Linked DNA regions of Cricetulus griseus. The protein of the gene in region 2 purifies or fractionates together with the protein of the main gene of each other region. This does not show direct contact. Links are inferred from orthologs where the notes say so. Each region holds a gene or a part of one and is shown on either strand. Other genes may lie near its edges.

Region 1 (3,873 bases), on a different chromosome or scaffold from region 2:
GGACATCTGAGGCGGCGCCACAGTCCAGCCTTCACCTTAGTTCGGATGGCCTTGGATGCTGGAAAACCACTTTGGTCAATTCCAGTCGCCTTCGCTAGGTGGCGCACAACCTCCAGGTTGATTTTTCCCTATCAACCGAGCAGCCGATGATGGCAAACCAGCCTGCCTGCCTCACAGACAGAGCAAGCATCCAGAAGTTTCCACAGCCATCCCACAGTGGGCTTCATGTCTTGGAAACCAGGCTTCCTTTTTTGTTGTTGTTGAGATGGGGTCTATGTGGCTCAAGATGGCACTGATCTCACCGCATAGCCCAGGCTATCCTCCAACTCATGGCAACCACCCCCAAAGTGCTGAGATCACAGGCTTGTAGCTGGCACAAGGCTTGCATCTTAGCTCAGGCTGTCTTCAAACCTACAGTCATCCTCCTGAGAGCTGGGATTACAGGCGAGACCCACCACACACAACTTCCCCCAGCTTTTGTTGTTGGTGCTGTTTTGAGACAATGTAACGGAGGCTGGCCTTAAACTCCCGTTGATCCCCTCAATGTAACTGAGGCTGGCCTTAAACTCCCGTTGATCCCCTCAATGTAACGGAGGCTGGCCTTAAACTCCCGTTGATCCCCTCAATGTAACGGAGGCTGGCCTTAAACTCCTGTTGATCCCCTCAATGTAACCGAGGCTGGCCTTAAACTCCCGTTGATCCCCTCAATGTAACGGAGGCTGGCCTTAAACTCCCGTTGATCCCCTCAATGTAACGGAGGCTGGCCTTAAACTCCCGTTGATCCCCTCAATGTAACGGAGGCTGGCCTTAAACTCCCGTTGATCCCCTCAATGTAACGGAGGCTGGCCTTAAACTCCCGTTGATCTCCTTTTGTCCCGTTTCTGAGACTGAACCCAGGACCTTGCAAGTGTCAAAGGAATCTATGACAAACCATTTTCACAGCCCTTGGCCTTGAACTCCTGATCTTCCTGTGTCTATTTCCCAAATTCCGGGATTACAGGTACGCCCCACACTCAGGTAGCCCCAGGGTTTCTGTTGTTGTTTTTATTATTATGTGCACATGACCGGTGAGTGGGATGGGGGTGCGCGCATCTGTGGAGGTGAAAGGCTAACTATAAAGTCAGTTCTCACTCCTTCCACCTTGTGGGCACCAGGTGCCCGCCCACTGAACACAGGCTGACGCATGGGAACAGCAAGCCAAACACCTGTATCCACTAAAGCCACCCCCGGCTCTCAAAGACAATGAAACAACTCCAGTCCTCAGGCAGAGTTTGTCCTTCAAGCCCTTAGTGTCCAGGTCAGCACATAGTAGGGCTCGCAAAGGATGACCCAGATGGGCTTGCACGGAGCCTACTGGGCTATCCGGTCTGAGATGTCTGTGTTCTTTGATTAGGAGTCACCAGAGAGGCCGCAGCAGGAGGCGGGGCCGGGCCTGAGCCCGAGGGGTCGCTTTGGCATCCCCCGGTGCTGGTGCTGTGACCTCTGTGTCACCCCAAGACCCTGGGCTTCCAAGACTCTGTGGAGTGACCTGGGCCTGAAAGTCAAGTTCTCACAGTTTCTAGAACGCCAGAGATACATCCAGGCACTGAAGGCCGAAGGCTGATAGCGTATCTCACCCTGATGTCCTCAGGCCATCAGGACACTTGGTCCCAACCCATGTCAGCCCACCTCCTCAATGCAACAAATGCCTGGGAAGAAGCCTGGGTACCGGGCGGCAGGGCTGGGGTGCCTGGGGTCACAGTGGGAGGGGCTTACCTTTAGGTCCCTGTGTACAATGTTCTTCTGGTGACAGTAGTGTACCGCGGATACGATCTACGGTAGAAGACAGTCAGCAGCCCATGGAGCCACCACCCACAGGGGACCTCCACACCCAGCACCTCCCCTGGGCACAAGCTGAGGCCCTATGGGACCCTGGCAAACTTCAGCACCCTGACAGTGAGATCACACACGTGTACACACACACACACACACACACACACACACACACACACGCTCACACGGGCAGGCAGGCACGCTCACACACGTGTACACACACACACACACACACACACACACACACACACACACACACGCTCACACGGGCAGGCACGCTCACACGGGCAGGCACGCTCACACACGTGTACACACACACACACACACACACACGCGCGCGCGCGCGTTCACACGTCCACAGCTGTAGCCCCTTGGGACTAGCCCATGTTTGGAAACTCCCAAAGTGTACCATGTTGGAAACAGGTGTGTGGGCCCAAGTCGCCACAGCTAATATCTTGACCCCCAAAAGCACCTGAAGGAGGTGCTTACCCTACATAAAGGGCCAATACTAAATATAGTGGCGCCCCCCCCCCCCACAGGCCACACATGCTGACAGCGCTCACGCCTGTTCTCTCAAATTTCACAGCTACCATCTTTTTACCCTGAATCTGTTCTTCACACCTGCACCTCTCGCCTCACACCTGGGCCTCACACCTGCACGTCCTCTCTGGCCTCACACCTGGGCCTCACACCTGCACGTCCTCTCTGGCCTCACACCTGGGCCTCACACCTGCACGTCCCCTCTCGCCTCACACCTGCACGCCCAGTCACCTCACACCTGGTAAGTCCTCTCACCTGATAGTCACTCTCACCCACCAATGTCCACACCCTGACCGCGGAATCCTCCACACCGGGGCATCGCCATGACACACCCGATACCAGCACCTGCAGGTCCTGCCACCGCCAAGCACCACCCGCACCCTGCACTCCACCGCGTGCAGGATCACACGCCTACACACACACCTCGGCAAGGATCCACACACCTTTCTCTGTATCTTCCACGGGACTGTGTACGTGTGTTTCTGCATGCTCACGTGCGTGTCAGTGAATGTGCGCGTGCGTGCGGAGGCCAGAGGCTGACATGGGGCCTTCCTCAATTGTTCTCTACTGTATTTACGGGGCAGGGTGTCTCCCTTGCTGAAGCCAGAGCGTGCCAATCTAGCTACTGTAGTTACCCAGCCCCAGCGAGCCCGTCTGTCTCCTAGGGATGGAGGTGCCCGTTCTGCCCACCCACCCCACGGATGGCAGGGAGCCAAACTCTGGGCCCCTGGCTCGCTCAGCAGGTGCTGTGTCCACTGAGCCATCTCCCGAGCATTTCCTTTTCCGCTCCCTCCTTCCCTTTCACGACAGGGTCTTATATAGATAGCCCAGGCTAGCCCCGAGCTCTACGTGGCCAAGGATGACCTTGAGCTCCTGATCCCTGGCTCCACCCTCGAGTGGTGGGGGACCACCCCAGCTTTGCCACACATATTCTGGAACTTTTCCCATCTTCCCGCCCTCGCATCTACACTCTGTCACTCGCACCCCCAGGTCCCCAACAGCCCCCTCCCACCTGAGTCCCTGCATGCCCTCCCCCCTGTACACGCATCTGCAGGGCACACCGCTCTGCCCTCACCCAGACCCTCTTCCCAGGAGCCAGGGGTGGGGAACCCCGTCTCTCACCTGTCGGAACTTGGCTCGGGCCTCCTTCTCCTTCATGCGGCCATGGGACACGAGGTAGTCAAATACTTCTCCTGCAGATGGAGAGGAAGAGGGGTCAGGGCTGGAGCCAGGGGGCAGGGGGGTATGTGAGCACAGGGCACGGGGGGTGCAGGGGTATGTGAGAGCAGGGTGTGGGGGTGCAGGGGGTATGGGGGTACAGAGGTATGTGAGCACAGGGCACGGGGGTACAGGGGGTATGTGAGAGCAGGGTGTGGGGGTGTGGCCTCACCTGCGCTGGCATATTCCATCACCAAGTACAGCGTCTTCTCTGTCTCTATCACCTCAAAGAGCTTGACTAGGGGGAGGGGGGCAGGTTAGGTAAGAGTAGAAGAGCCACCATTCTCCACCCCACCCCACAGC
Region 2 (3,314 bases):
GTCCCTCCCTTCCTCCCTCCCTTTCTTCCTTCTTCCTTCCTTTTTTCCTTCCTTCTTCCCTCCCTCCCTCCCTTCCTTCCTCTCTTTCTTTCTTTTTTCTTTTTCTTTTTCTCTTTCTTTCTTTCTTTCTTTCTTTCTTTCTTTCTTTCTTTCCTTCCTTCCTTCCTTCTTTCTTTTTGAATTAGGTAGAGGTTTAGCAAGCAGCCATATTTAAAGAGAAGAAAAAGCCCGAAGTACTAGAAAAAGCTTATTTAGGCTTGGGCCCCAGGCAAAAGAAAAGAAAAAGTGAAAGTTCCGTTTTGTGGTGGCTCTGTAGTGACTGTACAGATAGCAGGGATTCTGGGAAGGAAATGTACATGATCTCATTAAGGGGATAATTATTCCTCCCCTGTCTTTAGCATGGAGTTAGATGAATCTGCCTTCCTGGTGGGCAGTCCATTAGCCAGGTGATGGACCTACCCAACTGGATTAACTCTTACGTTTTGGTTAGTTTGGAATGTTAGGGTTCCTTTAGTCTTGTATTCAGTTACACTCTGCTTAAGAGTCCACCAAACCACTCTACTCAGAGTCTAGGCATTTTTTTTTTTCTCAGAAAGAAAAGTTGAGATGGGGTGCTAGTGATGGTATACTCCTCTAATCCCAGAACTCAACTTGGGAGTCCTGAGGCAGGAAAAGTGCAAGTCAAGGCCAGCCTGGGCTATAAGTTGAAACCCTGTCAAAACAAAAGAAAAAAGAAAATATCTGGTTCTAATGCTTGACTTCAATCCTGTGTATTAGAGAAAAATTCCACTGTAATAGGATTAGCCTCATCAAGCACTGTCCCTATGCTCACCAGGGGGTGACAGGAGTAGGGGTGTCTCTCAGTTGTTCCTCGAATTGTCCCAGCGGCCATAGCCCTCTCGTTCCCCTGGCTCCTCCCTGCTCTCATGTTCAAAGTAGGCCTCTTCTTCTTCTTCCTCCCGTATCACCTTCATCAGCTCCAAAAAGGTGGGTAGTGGGCCCTGATCCTTCAGCTCCCGTAACCGGCACCATAGAACATTGGTGAGGTTGGCCCCGGCCATGACCTGCTCCAGGCGTACCTGGTCAGCAATGTTTCGGGGAATAGCCCGTTTTTCCACGGCTCTTCGGAGCAGAGTTTCCAGCCGGAGCACGTAGGCTGAGATTTTCTCCCCTTCTTGCTGATAGGTCTTTAGGTATCTTACCTGCGAGCTCCTACGGCTCTCCAGGCTCCCAAACACCTGCTTAAAGGCTTCCAGACACTCTTCCACACTGATGGATGGGTTGTCTCCCTGTACGATGTGCATGAGGTCCAGGGCAGGGCCGCGGAGGCTCTCCATCATCCACTTTTTCTTTTCTGCCTCTGGGATGGGCCACTCTTTGGCTATCTCAGTAGCCTGTTCCAACCAGATCTCGAAGGACTCCTCCTCCGGGGCAGGTACTGTGTTCCCAGAGAATACTCGCAACTTACAGTACCTCACAGGCTGCAGAGGCCTTGGAGCTTGAGCCATTGCCTGCCCCACCAAGTGGGCCAGTAACTCAGGGGATGTGCAGGTTGGGGTAGCTGGAGACACTCCCTCCTGCTTCAGGGCTCGGAACATCCCTGCAATGGTCTGGCCTTCTTTTTCTAGAAAAAGGTTCAATCTCTGGAGAAACTCACTGTCCTGGTTAGGGGTCTTAAAGATCACTTTCCAGACACCTCCTTTCCCCTGCACCTCACTGGGGACCACAGACATATCTGTGTCCTCCACGAGTTCTAGTAAGACAGCATTCGTGTTGTCTTGCTTCTGGAATATCTTGCCTAGCAGGCGGTAGTTGCCCACACACTTGAGCGCCTCCTGAAGGACTGCCTGGATCTCAGGCTCACCACAGTCGGCTGGTATGCCAGTCACCATCAGTGACTTCTGATCGCTCACACTCATTATCTTGCACCACTCCTCCAACAGTGCCACTGCCATCGCCCTAGGGTATGCTTCTGCACACAGTGCCTGCCTGGCTCACTTCCCAAGTAGCTCAGAGCCTTGCGGACCAACGCTCTGTCCTTTTACTCAGTGTCAAGAACCAGGCACTTCCTGTGTGTCTTCGGACCCACGGCAAGGTTGCTGGGTGGACAGGGTAGGCTGCAGTTACCAGCCCCGTGGCTCTGCAGTGGGTTTGCTGCCGTTTCTGAGAGCCTCAGGCAGCTGTGTGGTGCTGACTCTTGTCACTGTGAAGCACCTGGAATGACTGCTCGACCCAGCCTCTCCCGGTTTCTGTCACTTTGTCTCTACAGTCAATGAGGAGGTGGTTTTCACTCTAGCACCCAAAACTCTGGAAAGTCGTCACACAGCGAGATGGTGAGGACGCCTACGGAAACAGAGGTTTGTTTTTACTACGCAGACCTCTACTTCCCAGGACACACCCACACTGTGGTTTGGAATGGAGCTAGGGGTGGACCAAGGGCTATGACTCCCACTGCACCTTTGTCCACCCCACTCTGTTGGACCCCCTTCTTTGCTCACTGTACTCAGGGCTAGGGGAGCAGCTTAAACCCCTTCTCTCCACCCCAAAGCCCCATCAGTGGGTGGGATTCAAGACCTTCACCATTCGAAAGATGAAATTAGGAGACATAGTTAAATACCTGTTTATGTGTTCCGGAATGTTCCTCAAGAATCAAGGAGCATGTATTCAGCTTCCAGCTCTGGAAGATGTCTCCCACCTCTGTACAATAGTATGGGTGTGTCTGAACTTCATCCAAATCAAGCTGTCCTGTTACACACAAACATGAACAATGTGTTTTTAGGCCTAAAATCTAGTAATAAAGATGAATGCACTTATTAAAAATATAAAGGTTCAGTAAAGGATGGGAAAAAAGTGACAGTCCTGCACAATTTAGTAGAACATCCTAAATAAGATAGTTGCTGCACTTTGAATAAAAACACCTCCTAGTTCTGGGTATACTCCTCAGTCTGTAGAGTGCTTGCCTACCATACGTGAACAAAGCCTGGAGTTCAATTTCCAGCACCACATAAACTGGGCATGGTGGTACATGCCTGTATTCCCAGCACTTGGGAGGTGGAGGCAGGAGGATCAGGAATTTAAGATCATTCTTGACCTCATAGGGACTTTGAGGTCAGCCTGGGCTACATGAGAATCATACTTAAAAACAAATACAACTGCACTGTGTGTGGTGCCACTCTCAACTGTTGTGAAGATAAGGCAGGAGGGTGCCAAGTTTGAACTCAATCTGGGCTACCCCCAAGAAATCTCGTCTCAAAAGAAGAAAAAGATATATATAAAAAAAACCTAAGTAGAATCACTCAGACCTTTCAAAATAA

Evidence for each region. The genes of interacting proteins can lie anywhere in the genome.
Region 1: the proteins of Pnma2 (region 2) and Mark4 purify together in Homo sapiens (co-immunoprecipitation; 3 studies listed by BioGRID and IntAct, with this or other methods). This does not show direct contact. The link is inferred for Cricetulus griseus from reciprocal best matches to the Homo sapiens genes PNMA2 and MARK4.

Annotation. Positions count from the first base shown.
Region 1 is NC_048602.1:27,909,629-27,913,501, reverse strand, and holds part of Mark4 (MAP/microtubule affinity-regulating kinase 4), read right to left. Parts: intron 3,809-3,873; coding exon 3,743-3,808; intron 3,546-3,742; coding exon 3,475-3,545; intron 1,813-3,474; coding exon 1,756-1,812; intron 1-1,755. UniProt on the Homo sapiens protein: Serine/threonine-protein kinase. Phosphorylates the microtubule-associated protein MAPT/TAU. Also phosphorylates the microtubule-associated proteins MAP2 and MAP4.
Region 2 is NW_023276807.1:221,896,301-221,899,614, reverse strand, and holds Pnma2 (paraneoplastic antigen Ma2), read right to left. Parts: upstream 1,956-3,314; coding exon 861-1,955; downstream 1-860.